Linked DNA regions of Astyanax mexicanus. The protein of the gene in region 3 interacts with the protein of the main gene of each other region in a pairwise test. Links are inferred from orthologs where the notes say so. Each region holds a gene or a part of one and is shown on either strand. Other genes may lie near its edges.

What was found. The genes of interacting proteins can lie anywhere in the genome.
Region 1: the proteins of drap1 (region 3) and gtf2b interact in binary tests that used the Homo sapiens proteins (3 or more experiments, as listed by UniProt). The two-hybrid records come from large-scale screens. The link is inferred for Astyanax mexicanus from reciprocal best matches to the Homo sapiens genes DRAP1 and GTF2B.
Region 2: the proteins of drap1 (region 3) and pole3 interact in binary tests that used the Homo sapiens proteins (3 or more experiments, as listed by UniProt). The two-hybrid records come from large-scale screens. The link is inferred for Astyanax mexicanus from reciprocal best matches to the Homo sapiens genes DRAP1 and POLE3.

Annotation. Positions count from the first base shown.
Region 1 is NC_064425.1:40,920,869-40,927,800, forward strand, and holds the start of gtf2b (transcription initiation factor IIB), read left to right. Parts: upstream 1-3,932; 5' UTR 3,933-4,064; coding exon 4,065-4,081; intron 4,082-6,647; coding exon 6,648-6,754; intron 6,755-6,867; coding exon 6,868-6,932. UniProt on the Homo sapiens protein: General transcription factor that plays a role in transcription initiation by RNA polymerase II (Pol II). Involved in the pre-initiation complex (PIC) formation and Pol II recruitment at promoter DNA.
Region 2 is NC_064408.1:17,396,703-17,404,280, reverse strand, and holds the start of pole3 (DNA polymerase epsilon subunit 3), read right to left. Parts: upstream 3,001-7,578; 5' UTR 2,542-3,000; coding exon 2,476-2,541; intron 1,505-2,475; coding exon 1,419-1,504; intron 1,324-1,418; coding exon 1,205-1,323; intron 557-1,204; coding exon 378-556; 3' UTR 1-377. UniProt on the Homo sapiens protein: Accessory component of the DNA polymerase epsilon complex. Participates in DNA repair and in chromosomal DNA replication.
Region 3 is NC_064432.1:18,622,981-18,630,713, reverse strand, and holds the start of drap1 (dr1-associated corepressor), read left to right. Parts: upstream 1-4,726; 5' UTR 4,727-4,822; coding exon 4,823-4,864; intron 4,865-7,003; coding exon 7,004-7,076; intron 7,077-7,631; coding exon 7,632-7,725; intron 7,726-7,733. Other genes in the region: c25h11orf68 (UPF0696 protein C11orf68 homolog), read right to left, coding at 886-1,614. UniProt on the Homo sapiens protein: The association of the DR1/DRAP1 heterodimer with TBP results in a functional repression of both activated and basal transcription of class II genes.

The sequences.
Region 1 (6,932 bases), on a different chromosome or scaffold from region 3:
AGTTTTCTCAGCATCTTGAAGGAAGGAGTTCCTGGAGGTGCTGAACAATAGTTGCTGCTTCTTTTCCTTCACGCTGTGAAGCTCCAGCTCATCCCAATTAAATCACCTCAAATCACCATCTCAGTTCATCAGAGAAACACTTTTTTACTGTTTACTACGTAATTCCATATGTGTCCCTTAACCGTTTTTATGTCTTTAATATTAATTTACAATGTGTAAAATAAATTCAATAAATAAAGAAAAAAGAAAAACATTGAATGAGAAAGTGTGTCCAAAGGTTTTACTGGTACTAAATATATATATATATATATATATATATATATATATATATATATATATATATATATATATATATATTAGGCCGTGAGTGAACAGTTATTTTTTGAAGTTGATGTTTTGAAGCAAAAATATGGATAAGCCTAAACATCTGAGACACTTTAACAAGAAACAAACTTTGATGTTCTAGACAATGACTGGATCAGAATCTCCAGAACATCAGGCAGGTCTTGTGGGGTGTTTCCCTGCAGTAATATGAAGTGGTCAGTAACTTCCGACAACAGGACTGTGGCTGGACAAAACGGTACCACTTTAAAATAAGACTACCTTTATAAAGGGTTTATAAATGGTTTACAATTAGTTTATAAATGGTTACTAATTAGGTTGTAAATGCCTTAAAAATCATTAATAATCAGTTGTAACACATACGTATGGTAGAAAGGGCACCAATGACCTGTTGTTTCCCAAATAGTGACTATATAACACAGCCATCTATATTGATGCCCTTTCTACGTATGTGTTATAACTGATTATTAATGATTTTTAAGGCATTTACAACCTATTTAATAAGCATTAATAAACTAATTGTAAACCATTTATAAATGCTTTATAAAGGTAATCTTTATTTAAAGTGGTACCGACAAAACTTACTCATGCTCATGGAGACCCACCTCACACCTTACAGGACTAAAGGTGATGTTAGTCTTGGTGCAGATACAACAGAACACCTTCAGGGGTCTTATGAACTCTAGGCCTCGATGGGTCAGTGCTGTTCTGGTAGCACAAGGTTGGCCTATACAGTATTAGGCAGGTGGTTGTATTGTTATGGCTAATTGCATCAGATATAAAGGGCACTAGTGCAGCGTGCCAATTCTTACATCATATTGTGTAGCTCAGTGGATGATTATTTAATGGTGCTTGTTTATACCAGTTGCCACCATGTGCCATGGCTACAGAGACTGGGAATTGTCTACTGGGAATAAGGGATTTATGTGGCATCAGCATTTAGTCCCAGCTGCTCCAACCAGCTCTACATGCAAGGCATAAATAAGCTCAAATAAACATGAAGTGAGTAAGAGTGTATAACTGTAATTAACTCAATATAACATTAGAATAAACACAAATAAACATAAATTCAGTGGTCAGTGAGAGTGTCTACATGAAATTAACTCAATATACAGCTCTGGGAAAAAATATGAGACCACTTAAAATTTATGAGTTTCTTTCATTTCACCAAACTGAAAACGTCTGGAATATAATCAAGAGAAAGATGGATGATCACATCAGGATCGCATTTTTGCATCAGGAGTGGCATAAATTTATCCAAAAGCAGTGTGTAAGACTGGTGAAGGAGAACATGCCAAAATGCATGAACACTGTGATTAAAAACCAGGGTTATTCCACCAAATATTAATTTCTAAACTTGTGTATATTAACTTGTTTTCTTTGCATTGTTTGAGGTCTGAAAGCTCTGCATCTTTTTTGTTATTTAAGCCGTTTTTTCTGCAAAAAAATTGTCTGCAGTTGTTCAATGTTCGTTTTACGCAAACATATACCTATAAATAGCAAAATCAGAGAAAATGATTCAGAAACTAACGTGGTCTCTTAATTTTTTAAGAGCTGTATAGTTGTGTTTGAAATTTGCGAAGTTTTAAAGACTTTAGAAGTTTCTAATTTTTTGCATAAATACAACTTAAAACATTACCAGATGTTTTTTCTCATTTGTTTAGCTGGGTTCTCTTTATCCACTTTTATGACTTGTATAAAAAAATCTGATTATGTTTTAGATCATATTTATGCAGAAATATAAACAATTCTAAGAGGTTCACAAACTTTTAAGCACCACTATCATTAAAATAAACCCAAAGAAACATAAAAACAGTGGTGGAATAAACACAACCCCCTCTGGATGGAGTGTTTCACACCATACCCACTCTGAATGGTGTTGTGTACACATTAACTATTTCATTATGCAAGAATTTTAAAAAGTCAAATGCAAATGCAAATATTACTGAGATATGAACTTTGACCACTTATTTTCAATATGCAGTCTTACTGCATTCTTATTACAGAGTAATTACACAAGGTAAACACTAGCCACATAGGGTTATTCTTGTATTATCATGGTGAGAGATATTTAAAGGACTTATGCTCTATATTTATAGAACTGTCCATGTGAACAGGTAAGTGGCTCCGAAATCATTACATCCAATGCAGAAGACCCTGCCCACATATCCCACGTAGCTCCCATTAGATGGGACATAGCAAAAGTCATGGTACAAGATATTAGTTTCTGTCCCATGATATTTGGCATGTCTGTGTTATTATTATTAGAGCATCCTTCAAGAGCTCAGTCTCAAGTCAACATATTAAGAAGACTAGTGTGCTCCGAAGGCTTTAAATATGCAGACGATGTATTCCTGGTGTCAGTGTGCGTATAACAGCACAGTCAGTACCCACAGATATAGTCACATGACGCGGTGAGATGCTTCCTCTCCGGGCCTGAGGCTGAGAACAGGAGCTGTAGTATATTTAGATCTGCTCTGAAGTTGATTTAACCACTGAGTTCAGCCTTGAAGATTTATAATCTGGTTCAGATCAGATAACGAGCTGTGTATAAGTAGTACGCAGTTACGGTAACGTCTGCTGACGTGTGTATCAGCTGGTGTCTCTGTAATATATATTAAATTACACTCTGATAAACCCTTAACCCAGTCCTCACTGCTGCACCTCCTGTATGATTACTTCTTTTGCACTTCTATCACCCTTACTCTGTGTGATGACAAGGAGCCATGTTTGTTTACTTCCTGTGCAGCCACGGACCGCTGATATAGGTTACAGCCACAGTAATAATATGTGTAATATTATTTATTTATTATTTTATAGAATAAGTAATAGCATACACAAAAAATGACCAACACAACACAAAATATTGCATCTCCTCTTAACTTATATCCACCACCATCCAGAGAAGAGGAGTTGCGTCTGTGGTTGAAAGAGCTTAATTTGAAGCATCCATCCAAACAACCACACACATCTGTGCTTACCATTATAAGGAGGAAAAGAGAAATGGCTTGGGTTTTGAAGCTCCGGGATACTGAAAGAATTTAAATTATGTACAGTATGTGTATAAAAGAGCTCTAGAAGTACAATGACATGCAACCAGTCATGGGACAGCAGTATATACGCAGCATAGGATCATGTTTCTTCAGGGGATGGCTTGGGAATGCCCACACCTGTATAAGTTGTCAGGAGTTATCTTGTGATAATAAGTGAGGTTGACTAAAGAGTGGACAGTGTACTCAAGACCAGTTTAATTATGGGAGGTGGAGTAAGGTCTGATAGTGGGTGCAGATGGATGGGTCCTTCCATTTGTGAAGTTGTGTGGGTATTTAACATTCCTCAATCTGCTAGGAATAGTTCATAGAAGGCTCCCGCATGGTGTTTTCTTTGCTTTCTCTTTTTTTCTCTTTTCTTTACTTTAAATGTAAGCAGATATACGCTGTTTTGTTCAAGAAGAGCACTAATATTGGAGGGTGGGGGTTGTGTGGTAGACATGCAACAGTTTAATTTTTTAATTTATTTATTTAAATATTTATTTTTTTGTTATTATCAGTAATATTGCGCGAACTTATTTGGTTTGTTCTGGATGTAGATATTTGGTCGATTCTGGCTTTCCGTGAGCAGTGAAGCTGTGATGAGATAAATAAGGGAGGTTATAAATAAAGCCCAGCTAAGGCCAGCTCAGCTCAGTTCAGCCCAGCCTGACTGAGAGACACAGGGACAGAATGGCGTCTACTAGCCGGTGAGTACAAAGCACAGGAGCGATTTATCACTTATTTAACTCGTTTTTGCTGTTTTTATAGATGATTAAACATTAATATGGTATGTATGAACACGTTGTCCACACCCCTGCGTGCGTGTCAGTGAGTTTTATGCAGAATCCGGGCTAAAATACGGGTTTCATTAATGGGTTCTGAGTGAATCGGACACGTTGTGAATGCAGTTCGTTAACACTAGCTGTTCGGGTTAGCCTGCGTTAACTCTGAATTTTACATAAAACAAACTATTTAACTCTATAGTATTTGTTTTAACGATTGCGAAAAGATGAGAACCCTTATAACAGCTAAATGACAGTGGAGATTGGGGTTAAGGGCACATATATAACATTTTTTTCATCTTAAAAGCTCCAGTTAGCATGAAAATGCGAACGCAGCTAGCTTAGCTAACGCGGCTAACAGAAGCTATTGTATTCTGTAGTGTTGGCTAGCTAGCCTGTTAGCATGGTAGTATCCAGCTAAGCTAGCTAGCTAACTAAACCGGCGATGTTTTAACTCTTTAAATTAACGTTGTATCTAGCTAAAGTATTTAGTAAAAAAAGTTACCACCATGTATAAGGGAGCAGATACCCTTTGAGTGATAATTTGACCATTATTATAACATTAGCTAGCTTTGTGTTGGTGTTGAAATGGCTAGCTTAGCTTAGCACACCTATCTATATAGATAACAACAGAGGAAACGACACTCAGGGTTTTATTAAGCTTCAGGTTAAACTAAGGATAAATAATCAACAGCTATTATTTAACGTTACTGACCTCGTGTACTGCGGCTGATTTAACATTTTATAGACAATAGTTAAGATCAGATATAAATACAGCTAGTTTAGTTAGCTAAACACTAAGAGAGATCCTAGCTCAGATAGACTGGAAAGTGCCATGTCACAGAGAGGGGCTTTAAAGCTCCTGTTTCTGATTATCATTACTTATCATCCTAATAATTAATAATTCAGGAATAATTAGTCATGGTTTTCATTTTTAGAAACGTCACTTTGGGAAGCAAGATAAGAAAACAGATAGAAAGCAACAGACACAAGAGGAAAATGAGCACAAAATTGTAACTGTCACGGGTGATGGAAGGGCAGAAATGGGTTCTGTTGAAAAAGAATAGCAGCCTATTTATTGATGGAGAAAAAAACAACAAATCATAAACTATTTAATTTAAATTAGTATGAATTGAAATTTAAACTAATTTATTTTAACCTCCTCAGACCCAAACTCTTGCATGGCATGCATTTTTTTATTTCTCTTTTTCCCTGTTCAAGCTTATTGGCACTTGAATAGTGTAAAAACAAAGAATTATCTTTTCCCATGATGTAGGTTCTGAGAAAAAGATGCCCACATATAAGGACTTTAGTTTTATATTTTGATACAACGCAATGAACTCGCAATTAGTAATGATGTGCAAAACCTATATTTGTGTCTGAACACAGCAGCATGTTTTGCCTGATTGCAAAACAAAAGTAGAAACAACAATTGTGCCCCTTTGAGCAATTTGGATTATTTGAAGGTTTTCTCTAGGTGACAGTATAATGGCCTCATAAGAGGACACAAGGCCCTTGTAGAGCAAAATTTATTGTAGTTGTCTAGACAACCCAAAATGTCATGTCCACACATGTGAATGCTAGGTCCTAATAGGATAAATATGATCTTTATTTAATTTTTGCTGAATATCATCCAATTTAACGTTTTTTTCACACTAGTGAAGTTTACACTTATTTTCTTTTTAGACACTGACATAAATGTGTTTTACAGTGTATTGATGATGATGATTATTATGATAATAATAATAATGTCAAACATGACAATATATTGATGTAATGTACTTTTATAACTTTTTTTAAAGAATCTCCCACTGCTGATTTATTTTATCCAAGGGTCAAAATATTGTGATTAATACTGTGTGTTAGGGTTGAACAGTATTTGCAATATATATTGTGTTAATAAAAAAATCATTAAGTTTCACCATATATTGCTGCACAATAGCAATGCTAAAACGACATATGCAGCCAGCCCTAATGTGTATCATTCATTAATTTTTAAATTGTGATTAAACGTTTTTACTGCAAAAATGCAGTGCTTTCAGACTCCCTAAATAATGCCACAAATTTAAAAATGTTTTGTGGGTTCAGAAATTAATATTTGGTGAAATATTGCCCACATGCCTCTCATGTGTCTTGTCATGCCCTCCACTAGTCTTTCACACTGCTTTTGGATGACCGTATGCTGCTCCTGATGCAAAAACTCAAGCAGTATAGCTTTGTTTGGTGGCTTGTGATAAAAAAAAGCTCAAATTAACAATATTTATAATTAAAAATTTTGAACTTTTGTCAGTAGTTTATAAAATGAAGTGAAATGCAGAGCGTACTTATACTAGCTTATAAAGTTGCATATTCAATCCACGGTCTGTTAAAACAAACCAGCCCAAAATTAGTTCTGAGTAAGGAAAAGTATAAAAACACCCTAGAAGAACCATTTAGTTGCATCAAAATATATTAGGTCTAACTTCTGCAATCTTTTTTTTTTTTATTGTAGTGCAGATGCTCTCCCCAGGGTGCAATGCCCCAATCACCCCGAGGCTATACTGGTGGAGGACTACAGAGCAGGGGATATGATCTGTCCAGAATGTGGCCTGGTAGTAGGTATGTACTCTAGACTCTAGACATTTTTATATTAAAGATTCAAACGGTCAGAAAATGAAACTTACAAACATTTCACTGTTTTCACTGTGTTCTGTCTGTTCTGTGTGTACCAGGTGATCGCGTTATTGATGTGGGTTCCGAGTGGAGGACGTTCACAAATGAAAAAGCCACTAAAGAC
Region 2 (7,578 bases), on a different chromosome or scaffold from region 3:
TTAGCAGAGCTTGGTCAATCTATACTCCCTAATTTTCTTTCCCCACTGCACATATTTGTGGCACTACAGTTAATATACACAGTGAATGTACTCTTGTTCAACTACAAGTAGAGCCAGTATCTCTGCAACACAGACTCTATTATTAGAACCAGTCAAAGAATGTAGGGAAGGGAATATAGCACAATACATCAGTGCCATGTTAGAATAGTGAACTCCTTTTGTTACCTTCAGATTTGTACAGATACACCTTTCTTTTTTAATTAGACCAAGCAAGTGCTGACAGCTGTTTCTTCTTCCTCTCCAATTTCATCTAGAACGTGGACATTACTATCAGGCTCCTTAGTCTGTTTAGGCTTGTTGCTAAATTGCTGTACCCCTTAATTTTCCACATCCTCCTCCTCGCCTTCGTTCTCTCCATCCTCCTCCTCCATGTGCTCTTCTTCCTCCTCCTCTTCCTCTCTGCTTTTGTCGTGCTCTTCTGTACCGTTTTTCTTCTCCTTGTCTTTCTTCTTCTGTTCTGATGCCTCTTTTTTGCCTTTCTGTCCTTTCTTGTAGGCTGATAAACAAAACAGGCAAAAATAAGCCTAGAACTAGTAATAGTACACCCTTAAAAATAAATGTGCTAAAAAAGTCAGAATTAGCAGTTTTAGTAAGATTAAACAACAACAAAAAATACATATAAATATAATTCACTTATCAGATGACTGGAGAAGACTGTCACTACAGACTGTTTGTTCATGACACACAATTTATCAATGGCTGCTTTTAAAATTCTAAGAGCAAATATTTAAATCCTGCAACTACATGTCAGGGTTCTTTTTCAACACCATATCTATACACTGTATACAACTATGTGAGACCCCAACTAAAAAAACATATGAAATGTCTCATCAGTTACAGGCCTTTTGTGAAAATTGTGTTATCAAGGTATCATTTAATATATGGAGGTCACTTTTGCTGACCTCAGTATTACCCACTGTGTTTACTTGCATCTTTTTTGCATAAGAACAAACAGCACTTTTTAAAGCTAGTTGTCTAATGGCCAACGGATCAATAAAAAAGGTAAAGATGAACTACTCAGGGTTAACTGCTGTTTATGTTTTTTTTTTTTTATATTGTTTAACAATATGCAGCACAACGTCTGACAGGCTTTACAAAGTGCCACAGCAAACAAAAATGTATTGTGAGAGTCCTAATCAGTTACCTTCAAGAGCGTCTCGCAGGGGTGGCAAGAAACGTTCAAATTCCATCTCCTCCATAGCCGACATCACATCTCCGGCATTGAGCGTCTTCCTTTTGGCTTTCATAGCGAAACTATTGGCACTGGAAATAAAATATATTTTTAAAAATTGATTAGTCACACACTTACTGTTGTATTTGGCGAGATAAAAGTTCTGTTCTGTGGTCTTCAGACATACCATGATGTTGCATAGAGAACAAACACACTGGCTGCTTGAGATATTGCCCTTCTTGCTTCTTTGGACACGTTTACACCATCTGGCAACTTACAAAAGCAACACAAAAGGAAAATTACATTTCACACAGTTGTTCTGGTCTACCGCAACTGAAGCTGATGAGACTCACAGCCAAAGTGTATATTTACAATACATACACTGCTGTGTTATTAAATAATGAGAATAAAATTCATGTAAATGTGAGGGAAATTTTTCATGTAAACGGTCATATTTTACATTAGTACAAAAACAGTTTGGTTTATTAAATAAAATGCTGGAAACCAAAATGGATATTATGGTATGCTCCTAGTGCTGTGCGATAAAACGATTGATAGAAATGTAAGCCACAGATGATAAAATTTTGATATAACTTGTTCTGTGAATATTTAACAGAGAATTGAAACACCCACTTTGTTATTCTGTAACATCTGATCTTTGAATTTACAGGATTTGAGTGTTTTATTTTTATTTATATAGTTGTATAACGTTCTAATGTTCATTTGTTAATTACTGACTAAATATTTTTTTAACTAAAATTACTTACGAGTAAAAGGAAACCTTTAAGTGTGACAGAAAGTGATTTGATTTATATCGTGATTTTGACTGATAAGGAAAACTATATCATGACGATGTTTTTTTCCCCCCATATCGCCCAGCCCTATATGCTCCTATGGCTACAGGCATATTTACATTTACATATACATAGAGGTAAATGTACAGTACCAGTCAAAAGGTTGGATACACCATCTCATTCAATTGTTTTTGTTTATCTAGTTTATTCATTTTTACATGGTATATTAATATTAAAGTTAAGGTTAAGAGTCTGTCAGTAAGCAAGTAACAGTGGGCAACCTAACAGGTGGCAGTAGCATCAGTTAAATTAGCATATATAGAGTTAAACTGCAAATAAACCCTTACTTATATCAGAAATTAGACTTAGAGGTTAACTAGATAAAAATGTTTAATCTAAGCACAGCAGTGTGTAGGAAGGTAGGTATGTAGTTTAGGTAAGTTTACTCACAGCCTCTTTGATAATGCGGGTGATCACAGCATTGGGAAGGTTTAGGTCCTCCGGTCTCTCAGCCATGCTCACTCACTCACACACAGCTAGTCCAGTGAGTAAGCTAGGCTAACGAGTGATTTAATAAATTAACTAAACTTAAACAGCTTTAATAGACCAAAACTCTGCCTGAGGAAGAGTGGAGACACTTCCAAACTCTGCTAAACATATACAATAATACAGTCCCGCTCAATAAAGAGCAGAACAGACTATCAGTCCGCCAAAACTACCGACTAACTGACGCTAGCTCAGCTAACCACCTGTGACTGCAGTGTGATAGAAAACAGCCCAGTTAGGCTAAGCTAACTCGATAAAACGCCCGCAAACTATCAGTTAACGGCCATACCCGCTCAGTACACTAATATATATATAATAATAACAGCAGCGGGTTATTTAAGTAAATAACCGGTAGCTCTTCTCGGACTGAGGTGAAAGAAACTCGCCGCTCTGAGCCGCTGAATCCCGCTTATCATCCAAAAACCCCCGCCTCACCGCAGGGTTGCCAGGTCCAACCAAACCATCCAGCCCAAAGTCAGTCTTAAAAGCTGCCCTTCAGAAGATTAAACTAATCCAAAATATAGGTTTGTCACACGTTTTAAGCATGTAGTAGGGGTTGGCAATATTATATCGTATACAATATATCGTGACACAGAAATATCGTGATATTAAAAATCCATATCGTGGTAATAGGGCTGTTCTGTTTTAAAAGTAGCCTATTATTTACTGTGAAGCTTTAAGTGTATTTATTGTGTAATTGTTTTAGTTTCTAGTTTATATGCATGCACTAAATATTCTGCAATATTATTTGCTGCATTATATTATTTTATGCTACATTATTTATTTTTGCCACATTATGATTATTCTGTTATACTGTTATACTATATTCCTGAAATTAATTAATTATTTTAGTTTTCCTCTATCGCCAGGTATATCGTTATCGCAAAAATACTCTGAAATATCGTGATATTATTTTAGAGCCATATCGCCCACCCCTAGCATGGAGTGGACGACTTAGTATTTTGTTTATAAGGAATTAGTGTTTTATTAGTTATTTTTTTTAACCGTTTTATATCCCAGTCAAGAACATTTAATTGTTACATAATTAGCAAAAAAAAAAAACTTTTACTTACTCATTTCTGTTCTTGTCCCTCCTGAGCTCTCTTTTCTCCTCTTTAACATTTTTTTCATCGCCTTGTGATTTCTGATTACATTGTATATTTAGTTACATTGATTTATTTGTCATTATGCATGGGAGGTAAATCCTGCCAAAAATAAAACTTAAATGAAAAGACTAAAATGAAAATGCAAATACAGTTTTGCACTTTCTTTTTCCAAACATGTGTGAAAATATTATAACAAAATTAAAAACAAAATTTAATCAATTCATTTGTAATTTAATTTTTTCTCTTGAGCATGGGTCATAAGTGACAAAAATAAAAAATTAAATTGAAAAGGCTTTTTGCCATTTATTTTATTAGCATACGAGTATTTCACAAAATAAAAAAATAAACCTAAAATAAAAAAGGTAATTGTGAAAAGAAAAAATTAAGCTTTATTTTGGCCTTGCCTTTTCGTGATGAACTGCATAATAAATGTCAAAAATAAAATCTAAATGCAATAGTAATGTTTTTAATTATAAGTCTTTGCAATGGGTTAGTTCCCATAGTTATATTCTCCTGGTTTTTATTGTTGTAATCCAAGGAAGATTTTTACTCGCGACTGGATTTTCAAAAAAGCCCAATTTGGCGGGAAACCTGCGAACCTGGCAACTCTGGCCTCACCCTTCACCCTTCACCCGCTCACACACAGCGCTGCTCCCGCAGCAGCCAATAGCAGAGCGGGCAGCCAGTCTATTATAATACACGGTTTTATTTTATACAGTTACTGTCGGAGCTGCTGATGTGTTTATTTTATTCACCCATTTATCTTTCTAGGCCCTCAATATTTATCCTTTTCTGTTTTCTAGCTCATTTTATTTATAAATAACATTTCTGCAGACAGCCTGTCCATACTGCGCATGCGCGTAACGCTTTAGTACGTTATACTAATTTTAATTCTGTAAAGTTATCAAGTAGCTACATTACACAAAAAGGTAAACCCTTTTAAATCTATTTCTTGTTGAATTTGATTTGTTTATTGATTCTCTTAACTGCCTAACTAAGAACATGAGGGAGTTAGATTTGCTGATGAATGACATATAAAGAATATAAATATAAATGTTTTGTTTAGCTCGTAAAACTTTTTGGTTGTATGATTAAATGATCTTGGATGTCCTTGTTTGTTTTTTAATGTTTTTGAAAAAAAAAAAAAATCTTAAAAAACGTTACTTTACTTTATCTTCTTAAAAGGGGTATAAGCTGTCAAAGTACTTTGATATTAAAAGTATTTTTGGATTAGAGATTTAGGCTGTCCATATTCACATTACGAAGCTGTTTATTGCATTTATTTATTTATTTATTTATTATTTTTAAGAGATATGCTGTGGCGATTGTGTCCCTTCAAATATTAAAACAACAATTTTGCAATATATTATCAGTGGGATATTATAAGACATCATAAAAATATCACTCCGTAATTGTGACACTATACATTTTATATTATTACAGTAAAACAACATTTTCAAATTTAGCCTGCCATAATTATATATAGCTATAAAAAAATATGATATGTTATAAGGAGATATTTATCCCATAATTGCAGATTGCTTATTTCTAAATTATGGCACATCATTTGTTGTTATCATTTCATATTATCTCATAATTGCAATATTTCCACATAATAAAAAAAAAATGCATAATTCTTCATAATAATTCTTATGATATAATACCCCATAATGGGATATGTCCTCAGAATTTCAAATATGTCCTTTTGTTTTCAAAGACGAAGCTCATAATGAGATACATTTTTGTAATTTTGAGATATTCTATGTCATGATTATGGCATGTCATTTTTTATTTTATAATAAGTTACTTTTTGGCATTTCAAAAATGTTCTTTGACATAAATAAAACATGTCATTTTATTTTAATATAAAAAAGTAGCTCATAAAGAGATACTTAATCTTAATTTCAGGATGTTCTGTCAGGATTGTGTAATGTCTTTTTTTATTTTATAATAAGGTAAGGTAATTTAAAAAATGTCCTTTGACATAATTATACAAAAATATCTCATAATATGATACATTCTTAGAATTAATTTATAATAATATTTCATGTCATAAACATGAAGTGTATATAGTAAGGATGTGAAGTTTGTATTGTTATTTTGATTGACAGTAATACATCTCTATAGAATCAGAATGCTTTATCCTATTTGAAAGTTATTATTCTGTACAATAGATGTTATCATTTGATAGTAACACAGATCAACATCGGCCTTTGAACTTGCTCCAAAACAAGCATTCCATTTCAGAGAATGTTCCATGATCATTATTGAGGCATCAGTGATGAAGTATGAAGCTATTATGAAATGTTTCTGCTGACCTCAGTAGTAATCTGCAGTGTTTCTTTTAGACTTCAGTTTCTCACACTTTGAGCTGCTTGCGTTTTAGAGCTGCCAAACGGTTTGTTTATCTCAAACTCAGATCGTGTGAAAAGTCCCTGAAAATGTGTTTTCTGTGATTTGTTCTTAAAGGAAAAGCTGTAGGGTGGTTGTTTTAGTATTGGCAAGGCGTGTTGGGTATATGCGATGGTCACGTAGCATTTTAATTCATGTATGCAAAGGTCAGTGAGGAATTCCAGCCATGGCTAATTTAACGTGAGGAATGATCCTTTAAGATTGAGCTGTGGGATAGATCTAGACTTTCTCCAGTGTATGTGTTTGTGTCATATGTATGTGTGGATGCTGTGAAAAAGATTGTATTACATTCCATCAAACAGAAAATGCTTTATCATGGTCTAATGTACTTCATTTTTAATAACATGCCAAAAGATGGTGTAGAAGAATGCAAATTAATCATAAAATCTTAGGAGGAGTGGGATAGCCCTTACTTGTGTAAGTTGTGAGGTGCTATCTTGAGGTAAGTGTGGTTGAACAGTGGTCAGCATGCTCATAGCAAGGCAATGTTTATGATCAGAGTTGGAGTGAGGTCTGATAGTGGGTGCCAGGTGGAAGACAGGACATTCCATTTCTTAGATTGTGCAGATATTGTGCAGTCATTTGTAAACTGGAAATACCTCATAGAAGGCATTACCACCCACAGTGTACAGGATTCTGAGTAAAATTGTCCATATGAACAGACAGTTAGGGCAGTGGTGGCTCAGTGGTTAGAGCACTGGGTTGTGGGTTCAATACACGCCTTTAACCCTCACTGCTCCCTGAGTGCCGAAAGCACCAGCTGCCCACTGTTCTGGGCACGTGTTCTCACAAAAATGTGTGTTTTCACTGAATGTATGGGTTAAAGGCGGAGGCTAAGTCACATAAACATTTAATGCAGAGAGTCAGTGCAGTATTTTTAGCTTCCAAAAGACATGCCAAAAGTCATGGGATACAAATTTCTGTAAATTACTTTTGGTATGTCAGTGTATTTTATTACAATTTCTATTTTAAACAGTTACAATTTTTGAGCCTGTAATGAATCTAAAAACTAAACTAATCATTTTAGATTAATTGCTTTTATTCATTCTAGTGAATGTCATACCATAAAGTATGTCCAAATGTTTGTGGACATCCCTTCTAATAAATGCTGCATTGATTGAAAGTTGCATTCACTGCTGAAACACACAGTAGGGCTGCACAATATTAGAAAAAAATTACATTGCAAATGTTATTTTTTTAACAGTATACTGTATATGGTGATATTAAACAATGCAGGGCCCATCACCCCCCCACCCGCGCCCTGTCTCAAAAGATGAGTCAGCGTCGAGCACTCAAACCCCGAGAAAAACAGCAAACCAACAGTAATTGGCCCTTTAATCAGGATTTAAATGGCTTTTTAAAAGGTTTTTCTGGGATTCTGGAAATATCTGCGCAAAACTGTGCTGGACTGAGGTGCACAGCTTTCGACACATGTGTTTACAAGCATGTGCCCAACCATGCAAAAAAGTGTATTGTGGCGGCTCTGGGC
Region 3 (7,733 bases):
TTCCCTAAAGCACAGCCATGCACAAAGAAACGAAAACAGAGCAGAATGCAACTTATTTTTATTTTATCTGGCATGTTTACACACTTACTCTAATACGTATAAAACAAACTAAATAGTTAAAATAAACCAGTTAATTTTCCAAAAGTAAATTTTTCGCAGCCCTTTAGTGTAAACATAACTAGCGTCGGTGACTTTTTTTTGTGTACAGTAACTGTGTACAGTACAGTTTACTGTACAGAACAAAATCAGTTCCGTCATCTGTAAACAGCAGGTTAGTGATACAAAAAGCAAAATGCACGCTGCTGTTCCTTACAATATCAGCATAAACAAAATTACAGGTTTGTTTTAGCACAGTAGCAATCAAAGATTAGTGAGAAGAGTTGGTAAGTTAAGTACAGCCTTTTAAAACAAAATTGCGCTATAAACGCAGCACAGGGTACAAACCCGAGAAAACAAAAAACAGCTGAGGAGCTATTTAAAAGTAAAACAGAATACAGTTGATTTTCACTATACTTAAAGGCATCTTCAGTCTTTTATTTCCATACGCAAATGCATCTTGCTCCCCTCTGTATTCACTCTATGAATACTGAATCTATGGATAGGTAACCACAGTCCAAGCATGGTTGGTTTTCACCCATCCAGACCGAAGTGGACATTTATCTCCCCATTAAAGGAACAGTCTGGTGTTTTCTAACCAAACCTCTGGCATTACATCTGTTCAATACAGCTTTGCTTCAGCAGGTGCCAACAGGCTGCTATGGTAAGTCTTTAAACTGCTGCCTGTGGCATCTGGCTATACATTACATACAATATTGTAAACAGAGGTCATGTTAAAAGCCACTGCACTATTCCATTAAAGAGTAAGGCAAACTAACTCAATGCACCTTATGTAACCTCCAGGTTGGTGACTTTATTGATGATGTGTGAGCGCCTGGGCACGCACTCTAAATCAAACTTGCTCTCGTAGATGGTTGGGCACAGCTTCCACTTGTTATTTCGGTATATTCCCAGGTAAGTGTAGACGTCTGGCTTGTAAGAGAGTGAGCACTTGACCCCAGCAGCCCTTATGGCCGCGTCCAGCTGCATGACCTGCTCCTCGTCTGCAAAGTTGTTGTTGTAGGCGCAAATGACATGCTTGGCTTCAGAGTTCGCATCTCGTGGGCTCACTTTGGCTGAGGAGATTTTCCCATCTAGCACGGCTTTGGCTATGCATTCCCAGGCACGGTCCACCTTGAAGCCGGTGTCCATGTGTATGAGCCATTTGCCTGTGAGCACATTGTGGTTCAATGCCAGCTCCTTTATGGTCTGGAAAGTGACTTGGCGCCCACTGGCCAGGAGCTTTTCCCAGCTTTCTTGAAGACCAGTCACGTCCGGGTACTCCGGACCATGATCTGGACCCAACACTGAGATCCAGCCCACAGGGCCCAAACCACCTTCTTCGTCTCCAAAACGGCTCACCTGGGAGGGCCTGTTAGACTCCAGCCAGCTGTAGAATTCGGCTCTAGGCGTTTTGCGGGCATCAAATATGATCCACGGGTCCATGTCTGCGGCCAAGGCCTCGGCAGCGTAGTCTTCTGCCGAAAGAGGCTCGGCATGTTCCTCCTCTTCCTCCATCCTTCTTCTGGACCTCGGGGTTGAGTGTTGGTACACGGGTAGCGTACGTCCTATATGCTAGTGTAAGGCACTCTTTTTCTGTTAGAGAGACCAAAAAAAAAAGTTATGAGTTAACCTGTATGATTATAAGGCAGTTTCACAGTTCTAGCTTCTCTATAAAAGTTGTCAGCAGAGGGAAGGATGAAGTGCTTTAAAATTTTCCGGAAAAAAAAAAAACGCTGCACTGACTTTGGAATTGATATAACAGAGTAGACCAACACCAGCAGACATGACTCTCCAACCCATCACTGACCATCAGTAAATTTTAAAACGCTTAAAATAGATCACTCGGTGTGTAATAAGTCTATATAATATGAGTTTCACATTTTGAACTGAATTGCTGAAATAAAGTATCTTTTTAATGAAAATATTCTATGTGAACCAGGTGACTCTCTCATGAAAACACAGAGAAAATACCAGTGTTCAAATATGTAATCAAAGGTAAATGTGCCACTTCCACTTCATAATCTAAAGTGTAAAACATATTTTGGTTTGCTTACCAAATAATCCTGCATTTGTTCCTGTATAGCTTTAATGTATTTGATATTAAATTTACTACGTAAAAATAAATTATAAAAAGAAAGAAAACACATAGAATGAGAAGCGGTGTGTCCAAACTTTTGATAGGTACTGTCAAAGTGATTTATTTTACACATAAATCGGTAATAGATTAATTTAAGCAAATAATAAATCTGCGGAGCCAGTTGGGAGTTGAAAGAGCCGGCCCTTTTTTAGTGAGCCGAGCCAAAAGAACCGACTCAGAAAAATGCCACATGTGACATGTGACAATCACTACTGCGCATGCGCTGAAAATTTTTTGTGCCTTTTTTACGTTTTCATGTGTTTTTCGAGATAAATCTGCTCATACAGTGTGTTTTACAGTCTAGACTTACTGTTATTGGTTGTTTGAGTCTCACACGAGTTTTAATGGCTATTCAAATACATAAATACACCGTATATACCCTTATAATTGCTATACTGTGTACTATACAGGCTAGTTAGCCTATATCCACATATCTTCTACCTAACCTACCAAACTTCACTTACATTAAATCATGTTTTCAACCAATCTGAATAAACTACTAGTCAATCAGATTTACCTATGAATACACATTATACACTGGGAGCACGTTTTGACAGGGTAGCAACATTGGACCCAACACCAGCAGTTATATTTGCAGATCTGCAGACCCACACACAGCTTAATGAACACTGCACAGACAGGTTACAAACTCATTCCTTCACCCCACAGCTCTACAGAAGACTCTCCCCACACACAGCTCACTCTTTAGCCTCCTCACTGACTTTAATCAGCAAACTTTACCCCAAACACAGCACAGCAGCAGCTGCAACTAGCCCCGACCACCAGAGAGGAGAAATAAAGCAGAAAACTCACAGAATTCCTCACTATTGCGCATTATACAGCGCTCACACTGCAATACAGCCCGCACACGCTCACCTGCGGCATCAAACACGCCTTTAAAACCACTAAAACAGCCGCTAAACCCACAGCTAGCCGAGCTAATGCGTTGTTTTTGAATTGTCTGGCTCTGTCCCAATTTGTGCGCCCGTGCTGTCTCCCCTCGCACACTAGAAAGGCCACGTCTACTTCGAACACTCTTTAGCTAACCTAGCTAGTGTGCTCGTTTCCCTACTTCCCCCACAGGTCGCTTAACAACTGGAAAATATCTAAACGACGGCGTTTTAGGGCCACTCTTTAAAAAAACAGTTCGTTCGAGAATAAAGTCGCAATATTACGAGGCTAAAGCCTTAACATTACAAGATTAAAGCTGTAAAGAAAATATCCAAATGTTCGCAGTAAATCAAGAGGAAATCTTCTCAATGTAAGAGATTTAAAAAAAATTAACAAATAGATAAAAAGTAAATAATAATGATATAGAAAATAATAAAATTAAATTAAGACCAATAACAAATGAATTAATAAAAACATAGAAATTATAAAGAGTTAAAACAGTCACATGCGTTCTGAAGGTAATTTGAAACTAAGAAGAGTTTCAAATTTCAAATGTGAAGAGGAGGTTGGATATAATACTATTAGGTAATAATAATAATAATAATAATAATAATAATAATAATAATAATAATAATAATAATAATAATAATAATAATAATTAGTATAGTATTAGTATAAAATCTATTTACTCATTCGTCTTCTTTTCCCTGATGGTCAGGGTTGTGGTGGGTCCAGAAACTACCCAATTCACCTTTTAACTTTACCTACATGTGCAGAAACCATTGAAATACTAAGTCATGTTCATGTACGATCTTGTTGTTTTAAGATATTATGTCATTATTTTATTATATTATATATTAAGTTGTTATTTTGAGATACATCATTATTTTGAGATACTAAGTCGTTTATATGAATGCTTTTGTTGATTTAGGATCTCACAATAACGACTTAGTACCTCATAATCATAAGATTGCAATTTACTTAATAATAAGTTTTTTTTTAAGTGGAGGAAATTAGATTTCACAAAAAAATGACAATCCTTTGAAAAAATCATTTTTTCTTTCTTTTTTTTGCTATGCTATTGCTATTTGTAATTCTATTTCAGTAGTTCAATAATAACCTGTTCCCGGGTCATTATTTAAAAATACTTGCTAATATTTGGCATAACGGCAGTCCTTTAACTTAAATAATAATGATAAATTTGAAATATATGATGTGGAAATATAAAGACAAACTGTTTTTTTAGAGATTAAGATTGAGATAGGGCCTACTGAATCAAGATTTGCATCCTGCTGCCAGAAACTGAGAAGGCCAGAAAGGGCATTTACCTGACAGGAATGTATTTCCATATTTAAACACCGAATAAAAACAGGTTTAAGTTTAAAGTTAAGGCGAAATTTCACTATTATTTTTATTTTATTTTGTTTTATAGCATGCTGAGTTTGTTATGGGCTTGATTTGAACACACTTGTAAATTGGAGCGCAGCCGGAGATCAAGCTGCGACCCTGCGAGACCCGGCTGGACTGAAGGAGGAGGAGGTGGAGACGGAGCCGCCGCTGCTGCTGAACCAAAAACACTGAGTTTATCATTAAAACCGAGCCTAAACCCGGCCTGGAGCCGATCCGGCAGCGGGACAAAGGAGTACAGACACAGAGCACACGGGCTAAAGCGGGAGGAGTCCTGTAAAACACAGCATGCCGAGCAAAAAGAAGAAATATAACGCCAGATTCCCCCCGGTGAGATTACTCCCATTCACCTGATAATGCTAATGCTAAGCTCAATGATTCTCTATGTACATGCTAACGTTAGCTTAGCACAGTTTAGCCTAGCCTAACTTAGCGGAGCTCCTGTTATCTTAACGCCCACTCTGAATGAGAGGAGTAAAACCTGTGGCTGGGTTTAACTCTGTTACCTGGTCTAGACTCGAGTCTAAGTTTAATTCTGAGTTTAAAACAATACCCAGTGTAATACCGAGAGCTGGAGAAGCCCATAGACTCAATGTAGAGCGGTTCAGCGGGTCCGGCTAATCCTACTGTACAGCTGCTCGCTGGAGAACTGAGAGTTCGGTTAGCTTAGCTTAGCTTAGCCTAGCTTAGCCTAGCTAACAGCTGCAGTCCTCAGCATTATTCAGAGGCCGTGTAGCTTTATAATTAAACAATTTACACTTTATTTTATGCAGTATTCTAAAATCTGTGGTTCAAATTGGTCAATACTAATGTAGCCATGATCCTGGATAATCTTTGTGTGTAGCCAGCCAGCTAGCTAACGCTAGTAAAGGTTTTTGCTAAGTAGCTAACATAAGCTAGCTAACATAACTTAGTTCCCTCAGTTTGTGTTGGAAAGTGAAAACTCAGCTAACCAGCTACTGTACAGACAGAACACAGATGTTTTACTTACCTATAAACACAGATACATTTAACTGACACTAACAGATATTTGGCATAAAATTGACAGACATTTGACTTAAAACCAGCAATTGTTTTTTGACATAAAATCAACAGATGTTTATGGTAAAGTTAACAGAGATATTTCGCATAAAACCAACAGGCGTTTAAGGTAACGTTTTATGTAACAAATGATATTTGACATAACATCAACAGATGTTTATAGTAAAATTAACAGAGTTATTCCACAAACTCAACAGATGTTTATGGTAAAATGAACAGAGATATTTGACACAACCAAAAATGTTTAATGAAAAATTAATAGAGAAATTTAAAATAAAATGAGCAGATATTTGATGTTTAGGTGAGAGATATTTGATGTAAAATATAGATAAGTGACACCAATATATATAACATAAAGATATAACAAATATTTGTTATAAAATTATCAGATGTTTACCATAAAATTAATAAAGATATTTGGCATAAAGCGAACAAATATTTAGTGAAAATTCAACAGAGATATTTTACATAAAATAAAAATTATTTAACAAAAAATCAGAAAAGATTTTTGGTATAAAATTTAAAGTGATTTTAAAATGAATACATTTAACATAATATTAACAGCTCTCTGGCTCTGTACATATCAGCAGGCTACTCAGCTGCTCTTATGCTGCTAACCAACTTTAGATATCAACAATATTTACATACCATTTGTATTTGTGGCATTTTTCTGCTCCATTTACTACAGAGGCCTCATTCTTCTCCACAAAGAGTGGTGTACCTTCAGTTTTTTATTCCAGTGAAGCAGAAGCACATGTGATTAGTTGTTTGAAGACTGACCAACTGATTAAACAAGAGGAACCAAGTGTGCTGCTGCTGTTTTTTTTCCATAAAAAAGGAAATCTGCAACCACAGCAGCCCTGTGTAGATAAGATTGTACATCTCTAATTTATTGATGTAATCACATTCTTTTATGAATGCTCTTAATCTAGTAGAAAATCTTTTTTGGACAGTATGCATTTAAGTACAATAGTTGCATGTCTCTCAGAGACTCAGGTGGTAGATTAGTAGTATAAGTATAAGTACTACAATAAAGTAGTATAATAAAGGAGCACGTTTGTGTTCTTTATTTTATTTAAAATACAACAAGATGTGGCTGGTAAAGGTTTTGTGTTTCAAGCACAGGAAAATATCTAAGTCTGATAGAATGTAAAGCACCAATTTGAAGTATTTCCACACTGTAAATGTTTCCACACTAAAAAAAATGACAGAAATGCATAACTAGTATTTAATATTCACTGTTACATTTTAGCTTTCAGTGTTAAGTATGTTTTTGTGTCCTGTAGTGTATTCTGTACAGTATACACTGAACCCAGCTGTACTGTATGTGGCTATTCAGTAACTACTGTTATGTAAATTACATTTTTTGTTCCCAAAATATCTGTCTAGCTTTTTCACGCTCACTATGTGTGTTTGTATTACTTTCAGGCAAGAATTAAGAAGATTATGCAGACAGATGAAGAAATAGGAAAAGTCGCTGCTGCCGTTCCCGTTATTATCTGTATCCTTTGAAAGTTCACATATTTCTGTCTTCTGTTGTACAGCAGTGTTTTAGAAATGTGTCAGTATGAGAGTGTTTGAGGTTCTTATGCAAATTGCCCTTTAAATATTGCTAATTCTTTTACTGCCCTAAATATTTCTGTAGAGTTAGATGTCCAGTGCAAAGATGGACATGCACATTTCTAATCAGATGCTGTCAGCCATAATCATAACCATACACTGAACTATCCACTGTAGGTGGTAATGCCTTCTATGTTGTATTCCTGGTTAATACTTGACTCTGTGGATTAAGGAATTTTAAATGCCCACACACTCACTCACTAGATAACACCTTACAATATGTGGGTGTTCCCAAGCTGTCCCTTGAGGTAACACTTGGATCACATGATCCATGCATTCCACTGCATCGCATAACCTGAGATTAGTTGATTTAATAGGGTTTTTTTAAGTGAATAATCACTTTCAAGATATTTTGTTATTTTGGCGTTGATTAATAACCCTCTCTACTCTGTAGTTGATGTTCTTGGTTTGGTTGGTTCTTTAACCCCTGTTCGAGCGCGGGCACTTGAGCTGTTTCTGGAGTCTCTTCTGACGAAAGCCTGTCATGTTACCCAGTCACGGAACGCCAAAACTATGACAACATCGCATTTGTGAGTAA